Linked DNA regions of Danio rerio. The protein of the gene in region 1 purifies or fractionates together with the protein of each later gene. This does not show direct contact. Links are inferred from orthologs where the notes say so. Each region holds a gene or a part of one and is shown on either strand. Other genes may lie near its edges.

Evidence for each region. The genes of interacting proteins can lie anywhere in the genome.
Region 2: the proteins of ift57 (region 1) and ift46 purify together in Homo sapiens (affinity purification with mass spectrometry; 3 studies listed by BioGRID and IntAct, counting the BioPlex papers as one, with this or other methods). This does not show direct contact. The link is inferred for Danio rerio from reciprocal best matches to the Homo sapiens genes IFT57 and IFT46.

What each region holds. Positions count from the first base shown.
Region 1 is NC_133177.1:45,211,867-45,216,519, forward strand, and holds the start of ift57 (intraflagellar transport protein 57 homolog), read left to right. Parts: upstream 1-1,703; 5' UTR 1,704-1,841; coding exon 1,842-1,978; intron 1,979-3,258; coding exon 3,259-3,433; intron 3,434-3,521; coding exon 3,522-3,640; intron 3,641-4,653. UniProt on the Homo sapiens protein: Required for the formation of cilia. Plays an indirect role in sonic hedgehog signaling, cilia being required for all activity of the hedgehog pathway.
Region 2 is NC_133185.1:34,664,079-34,667,999, forward strand, and holds part of ift46 (intraflagellar transport protein 46 homolog), read right to left. Parts: exon of another isoform or gene 3,431-3,921; coding exon 3,282-3,430; exon of another isoform or gene 3,244-3,281; intron 2,353-3,243; coding exon 2,278-2,352; intron 711-2,277; coding exon 617-710; intron 541-616; coding exon 412-540; intron 317-411; coding exon 198-316; intron 114-197; coding exon 47-113; intron 1-46. UniProt on the Homo sapiens protein: Forms part of a complex involved in intraflagellar transport (IFT), the bi-directional movement of particles required for the assembly, maintenance and functioning of primary cilia. May play a role in chondrocyte maturation and skeletogenesis.

The DNA of each region.
Region 1 (4,653 bases):
CTAGGGACTGAGCTCATTTCAATCTCCAAATATTTGTGTTCATGCTCGCACCAACATCATAGAGACAGAGACGGGCAGAGTGAAAGAAAGATTGACCCATCAGCCAAAAAAAGATCTCTTGGAATTAATCTCAACAGCTGAGCGGCTCTGCCCAACACATAGAGACCTAACACGAGGAACACACTGCTGCACAGTTTATCTAGGGACAACAGAATACAATAATGTGTTAAATACAATTCATCATTCAAACAGCTTTTCTCATTCAGAAAATAAATATGGGAGAAAATGTGTAAAATTATAAAACAGTGTTCAAAAGGTTTTTTAGGTTTTATCTTAATATTGAGCAAGAGCATTAATCAAAAAGTGACAATAAAGGGTTTATTATTGTGACATAAAATATCCTTATAGTAAATGCAGTACTTTTGTAAATTCAAGTCCATCAAAGAATCCTGAAAAAGTATTATGAATTGTAATATTTTAATATTACTTATTTGCTGTAAATAATACAACTTTGGTGAGCACTAGGCATGGGCCGGTATAAGATTATGTTGATATGATAACCTTGGATAAAAATATTGTGATTACTGCTCTAAAATATATTCTTTTTAAATGTCTTAGTAAAAAAAAAAAAATTTCCCCCTTTCAATACAATATATTTTTTATTTTGAGAACAATTTAAAATATTGTGGGACTGTAAACATGTCAGGCTAAATAAATGAAATGAATGGACTTCTCTTGTCTTCATTAGTTTCAAAAACACTGATTTATTTACGATTTCGAACAGCATGTTTGGATATCTATTCTGCTAAAGATACTGTTGTCTTAAAAAAAATAATAATAATAAAAATTGAATAAAACAATCCTCCATATACCGAAGGAACAGTATTGCAGAAAATTCTGCCTTGACTTTTTCAAAGCAGTTATCATTCATTGTCTAGTGAGCACAACCGACTTAAAAGACTCAAAAGACTGAAGATTTTTCATATAATAATAAGTAACCACATTTATAGCATAAAGAAAAAAAATAAACATAATTAGATCAGCACAGATAACCTTAAACCATAACATTGACTATAAATGACTTTCATGTGTCAGACATTGAGTTGTGTTGAAAACCAAAATACTTAAAAATCACCGTTTAAACTTGTAAAAACCAAAATAATTACTCTCTGGTTTTTGTAACATAACGTATTTTATGCCCTTACAATGGTTTTACTATACATAAAACAATAAACAGAGGTAATTTACTGTGACTAAACATAACAGTTCTGGCAACTAGAAATCAACCATGGTTTGTACTTTGAAAGTGTGGTGATGATAATAATTATTTGTTTTCCATTCTTATTGTTAACACACACGCATTTATTATTAATTATGTTATTAATAAAGAGTCAGTTTCAAAGAACCAGCAAGAAAAGCAACATATCTTTTCGATTGGAGTAACGTTAGATATGGAGTCGTTTCTTCTCCGCTCCAGCGTGTGGCAGCACTGTCAGACTACACACGGTAACATTATAAAACTCTTAGCCAAAATCAGATTTCGGCTCGCTGCTTTTTTTCTATTCAATAATTATGCATAGTCATTGATTATTGATTATTTATAGCTTTCTGTTTATTATCTGTGACTATTCAGTAGATACTTTTACTTTGTTTGCTGTCATGGCCGTCGCTGTGTGTGACGTCATTCCTGACGACAGTAACTACAACATCCCGAATCCGCTGCTGCAGAATAGCCGTGTATATATCTGTCTGTATTCGTACCTGCAGTGTTAATAAAAGCTTTAAACTAATTTCCCTTTGCGAGTAAAGATTGTTAAATGTGAAAAGAGAAAGAGAGAGGGATGGCGGAGGAGGAAGAGCGCGGTCCGGGCTCTGTCTATCAGATGTTCGTGTTGATGGAGGATCTGCTGGATAAACTGAAGGTTCTCGATTATGAGCAGCACGTTCTGGACAAACACAACATCAAACCTCTGTCCAGGTAAGAGAGACTCGGAATGTGGATTAGAAAGTATTTGATGTAAATAGCATTACAGTTAAAGTGAAATCTCTCATCATGAATTTAGTATCGGGTTTTACAAACCTGGATGAGTTTTTTTCTTCGGTTGGACATATAAGATAACATTTTGGACAACATTGGTAAACGAGTAAAGTTAGTTTCTGGTCCCCATTCACTTTTATAATATGGAACCTGTAAGAAAATGAACGTTGCAAAGTAGATAGAGTTACTTTTTAGCCGTCAGTTTATAGTAAAATCCACTTATCATATATTATCATAAAATGAAAATTCTGTCAACATTTACTAGAATGATGGAAACTATATTGACAAAAATATTATCAGTCAGTGGCTGTTGCTTTCCAACATTTTTTATAATATCTTCTTTTGTGTTCACACGTTTAAGACCTTTAAATTAATATAAGTTTAATAGTAGAATAAGAACAGAAATAGCCGTTGCTATTTTTATTTGTTGTACACACAAAAGCATCTCTCGCAGATTGATAAAATTCTGATTGAACCACTGGAGGCGTATTTCTGTTTTAAGGATGTTTTTTGTTATTTTTCTGGATGACTCAGAACCATTGCTGTCTATGGAAGATGAGAGAGCTCTCAGATTTAATCTAAAATATCTTATGTTGTATTCTGAAGAGGAACTAAGGTCTCTAACATGTCAGGATAATATACTTTTGAACAATGTTTGAAGAAGTTGATATCAAAGAGACTGCGTGTTATAACGTAGACATCAGAAAAAGTAAATAAGAACATCAGAGTGAGTACAGTGCTCAGTGAGTACACCACATTTTGAAAATGTATATATCTTCAGTGAATATAGGCAATGTGTTTTGGTGCATTTAAACAAAGCAGATTTATTAAACAGATATATTTATATAAATAATATTTTGCTCACCAAACATATTTATAAACTGAAAGATAATACAATTAAATTCAAGCAAAATATTACAAAATTTCAACTAAATTTTATTTTCTTTTTCTTGTTTTTGCTTTTTAAAAATTGTATTTAATATTTTTCTATAACATATACATTTGGTTGTACTAGTTTTATTTAGTTACATAAGTTCTAGATTTGGCTTCAGTACTGACTAATCTAATGTATATGCACAAATATAATACTGTATAGCTTCCTATTCAAAATATAAATTTAAAAGATAGATTTGTGAGGGGTGTACTTATACATGCTGAGCACTGGAAATAATGACTGATTTTTCATTTCAACTTTTGCCTTAATACTCTGTATTTTTCAGACATTATTTTGTCTCCAGCCCTCATGTGTTGTCAAATCCCGGTGAGCAGTTCTATATGTTCAGTGTAATTGCTGCCTGGTTGATTACATTATGCGGGCGACCGTTCGACACACCACAGGAGTATGACGACCCCAACGCCACAGTCTCCAACATCCTGTCTGAACTTCGAACCCTGGTGAGGCGATAACACTGATTACACCCTCACAAATGTGTATGGGTGTATGCATTTAGGTTTATGATTATCATCTGTATGTGATTTGTAGGGAGGCCAGGTTGATTTCCCCCCATCTAAGCTGAAGACTGGGTCTGGAGAGCATGTCTGTTATGTTCTAGACCAGCTGGTAGAAAAGGCACTAAAGAGTAAAGGTTTTGCCTGGAACAGGTACACATATATTTAACAGCACACACTATGGGCAGGGGCGGGTTTAGCGAATCGGGGACCCTAGGCAACTTCAGCCATGGGGCCCAAGTCCTGATGCACCTTTTCTACTTTTTTTTATTTAAATGTATTTATTTTCTGTAACTCAATCTTCTTTTTTTATGGTTTATCTTAATGCAATCTTTACAACCTTTACATACGATAACAAATATATATATATATATATATATATATATATATATATATATATATATATATATATATATATATATATATATATATATATATATATATATATATATATATATATAATCATAGATTTACTGCTGGACTGCTCCATGATAGGGGAGCTGGATATTTTGTTTCATAATATTAATATTACAAAACATTACATTATTAAAATAATATAAGATTTTACTGTATATTAAATAATATTTAATTATGTACAAAATATCTCACTATACAAAATATGATAGAAATTATGTTTTATATATAGTTTATAAGTATAATCTATACTTCTAGATATTTATTGGGGCCCTAAGCGGCCACTTACCTTGCTTATTGGTTAAATCCGCCCCTACTATGGGCTTGTTTACACTTGGTCACTTCATGCGTTTTTGCTGACTGCATAGCTATCTGATTTGTTCAAATAGTGCCATGTACATTTGACCACATGAATGCATCTTCGCTAAATTAATATGATTCCTTGGATATCTTCAAATCTGCTCTATATACAAATTTAACTAGTTTATGTTGACTAAAGCATCTGATACATTTTATTTTATTTAAATAGTATTCGCTTTTACACAAATCTAATCTATATTTTTGATTCTGGATACAAATGCTTTTATATGTAGGCTCCTGGAGGCTTTGTGTTTGAAACATCCTCATAATAATAAAAAATAAAAAAATTGCATGAAGTGACAAAGTTTAAACCACACATATGAGCTTACAACAGGTTGAGATCATTTTCTATGGTGGTTTAGGGGCACAGAAATCTTTTAGAACCACGAATT
Region 2 (3,921 bases), on another chromosome or scaffold:
GCATAACAAGGGTATTTCCAGTAAAACGTATTACTCGAGAACCAACCTTCCCCAGAAGTTCCTCAAATTCAGACGGCCACTCTTGCATCAGGCTGTCAATGTCTGGCATGGGCCTGAAGAAATATATACAAGACTCTGGTTACAAATTGACATACATGTTGTGATTTGTTTGTCTGGATGTTTTTGTTAGTGTTTGCCTTGTGTAGTGAACTGTAGCTGGAGGTTTGGAGCGATGCAGCTCGCTAATGCTCTCAATCCAGTTTTCTATAGCTTTAGGGTTCTTCTCAGGGTTTTCAATGCTCTTAATTTTCACTTCCTGTGAAAGAGAAGTGCATCACAGTGTTATTTTAGTTGTCAGGCTGCAATCTTCAAAGTGTCTTCATTAGTCTTCTAGTGCGTGCGAAGACTTACTGTGACGTTGTGCTGTTTGCTGTTCTCTGAGAGCCACAGGGAAAGCACTGTCGGATCTGACTGTTTAGTGCACGGCTCATCCAGAACCAGCAGACCCAGATTGTCAGGCTTTCCGTCAGGCCGTGGTACCTGTAAAACGCAAAGAGAAAATGTATAATGAAGCTGGAAATGCAGCAGTGCTTCAAGTGTGAGATGTTTAACTTACTTTGAGGAAAGCATCAATGTCTCCCACAGCTGGGATAAAATCGGGGATAAAGGGTTTCAGTTTGTGGTCAAGCTCTATCGTCTGTGGAGTGTATCTAAAGAATACAGTTTACAATTAATACCAGTAAAAAGTGAAATGACCTTGTTTTGGTTGTTTCTTCAAGATTTTATTTTTTTTTTACTTTCTGAAGATGATAACTTAATGGTCTTAAAAACCTTTTACATATTTATTTTTACAAATTTAAAAAATGTGATTATATTTAAATAACTGTATTTATAATAATTACTTTATACAGTCAGAATTATTAGCCCTCCTGAATTATAAGCCCCCTGTATATTTTTTCCACAATTTCTGTTTAATGGAAAGAAGATTTTTTCAACACATTTCTAAAAATAATTGTTTAAAAAACTTAAAAAATATATACAAAATAAATAAATTCAATAAAAAAATAACATCATATAAATTGAGTAAGTAAACCAAACCAAAAGACATACAAGAAAAAAGGGAAGTAAAAAAAAAGAAAAAAAAAAAAGGTGGGGGGGGGGGTGGGGGGGATGGTTGCTAATATCATAGCCTTAATCATTATTTTGTCTCGTTACATGTTTGCTAACATTTTGGGTCGCTGAAATTTTACCCATTTATCAAAATAAATTTAAATTCTTCCATGTAAACTGTAGGAGAGTTTTTCAAAAGCTGCAACTTGTCCTAACCCTGAGATCCACTCAAAGATTGAGGTCAACTGGAAGATTTCCAGTTTTTAACAATCACTCATCTGCCCAGCATGATACAGCTCTGTATCCACTGTGATTCAGCTTTATTCATGTGGCTTAAGGGACAGGGGTCACCAAGCATGTATATAAAAACTCATTTTTAATAACTGATCAATTTTATCTTTGCCATGATGACAGTACATAATATTTGACTAGATGTTTTTCTAAACTCTTCTATACAGCTTAAAGTGACATTTAAAGGCTTAACTGGGTTATTTAGGTTAACTAGGAAAGTAAGGGTAAATAGGCAAGTCATCTCCTTGAGTAACAATGTTTGTTCTGTAACCAATCGAAAAAAGGAGGCTAATAATAATGACTTTAAAATGGTTTTCAAAAAAAAAATAGAAAACTGCTTTTATTCTAGCCGAAATGAAGCAAATAAGACTTTCTCTAGAAGAAAAAATAGTATAGGAAATACTGTGAAAATTTCCTTACTCTGTTAAACATTGTTTGGGAAACATTTGAAAAAAAATTACTTGAGGGCTAATAATTGTGACTTCAACTGTACATAAATATCATGTTACCTAATTGCTAATGATCTGTTTATCATTTTCAATCAAGCAGTAATTTTATAAAATTAAATGTACGACATATTACAAAAGACAGAATTAAAAGAGTTTAATTCTAAAACTCACAATCATTTTCACCAGATAATGCCTTTGAAAAAAAATAATTATTAGATGCTCAAAATGTTTGAATTATTCTTAAAGTTTTATGACACAATAATATTATTTTTTACAGTGTTAAGGCTCATTCACCAAGAGTGATAACTATAGCCCTAATGTTAGCATTAATGTAAATGCAAATTCAGCTTATAAGCATGCACTGCAGCTTTGTCACATTCCTTTAAACACTGTTTCTTGTAAAGGTGTGAAGTGGTTGCATGCTGACCTTGTGATATACTGAAACAGCTCTTTGATCTCGCCTGTCACAGGAAGATGCTCGTAATCAGCCGGGTCATAAGCACTATGAAGAGTCATACATAAATGCATAAATAAACGTACATTATGTTCAAAAATCATAAACTATCTTTTGGTTTAGTATAGATTATGTAGTATAAAGCACCACATACCATTATTAAAATACACAATATCCAACAACTAATCAATAATTTTGATTCATTTAGCTAAAAGAAAAAAAAATATGAATATCAGTGATTCTCTTTCATTATTTTCACACACACGCACACAAGAAAAGGTCCCATTTTATATTAAGTGTCCCTAACTACTATGTACTTACATCAAAAAAATAAATACAATGCACTTACTGTGTTTATAATGTATTTGAGAACACTTGTGGTGCTTTTGAGTTGGGATAGAGGTTGGGTTATGGACAGGTTTGGTGGCATGGGTAGGTTTAAGGGTGGGTTAAGGTGTAGGGAATGGTCAGCAGTGTATTTACAAATGTAATTACAAAAGTTAATTACAGATGTAATTACATACATGTATTTAATCAAGCATAAGTACACAGTAAATACATGTATTTACTTAATAAGTACATTGTAACAACGTAAGTACATGTAGGTACATGTAAGTTCCTATGTAGTTAAGGCCACTTAATATAAAGACCAAAAAAAATTGAAATACCTTTTGGTTTTGAGAAGATTATGTATTATAATGCACCAAGTACTATCATTAAAATACATTTTCAACAAATAATCTATCACTTTTATTCATTTAGCTAAAAGTAAATAAAATATTTAAGTCAGTCATTCTGTCTTTCTATTTCACCACAAAAAAAATGATAAAATACCTTTTGGTTTTAAGTAGATACTGTATTATAATCCTCTAAACACTAAATTTATTACTGAAACTTTACTTTTCTTTTTACTTTTTTTTTTAATTCTACTCCTTTCAGCAGACGGTGTGTGAGTAAATAATGGCTAGCAGCTCTACCCTTCTGGAGCAGATCCTGGCTCCTCTTCCTCCTCATCAGATTCTGTGTCATCAGAATCATCATCATCGTCGTCATCATCATCATCCTCATCTTCTTCTTCATCATTCTTATTAGCACCGCGGGGACCAGGTGGTGGCTCTTTCTTTCTCTGTTGTCAAATGTGAATGAGTTATGCATCGAAATCATAAGTCCAAGGCATTTGAAAAGTAAGTGAAGAAATTTGAAAAAGTCTTTATTAACATGGCTATTCTTTAAAAACAGCACCTGCACACTTTTAAAACATTTGCCTTCATCAGGGTAACCATGTTCAGGTGCGTCTGGAGTTCATTTAATCACTCATTTAAACACATAACTCAATAATATATCAAAACAATACAGAATATGATATATCAAACACAATGAAGTCAACTCAACAGACATTATTAATTCAGTAATGGAAGAGAGAAAGAAAAAAGATTACAGTAATCATGATAAGTGTTATACAACATATTTCTCAAAGTAAAACATGAAATGTAAATAGAAAAGGAAACCACAAAGATATGCATGCATAAACAAATACATTAGCATTTTTGTTTATACATGCAAATTGTTGTGGTTTCCTGTGTGTAAGAGCTGTTTTTAAGGAATAGCCATGTTAAT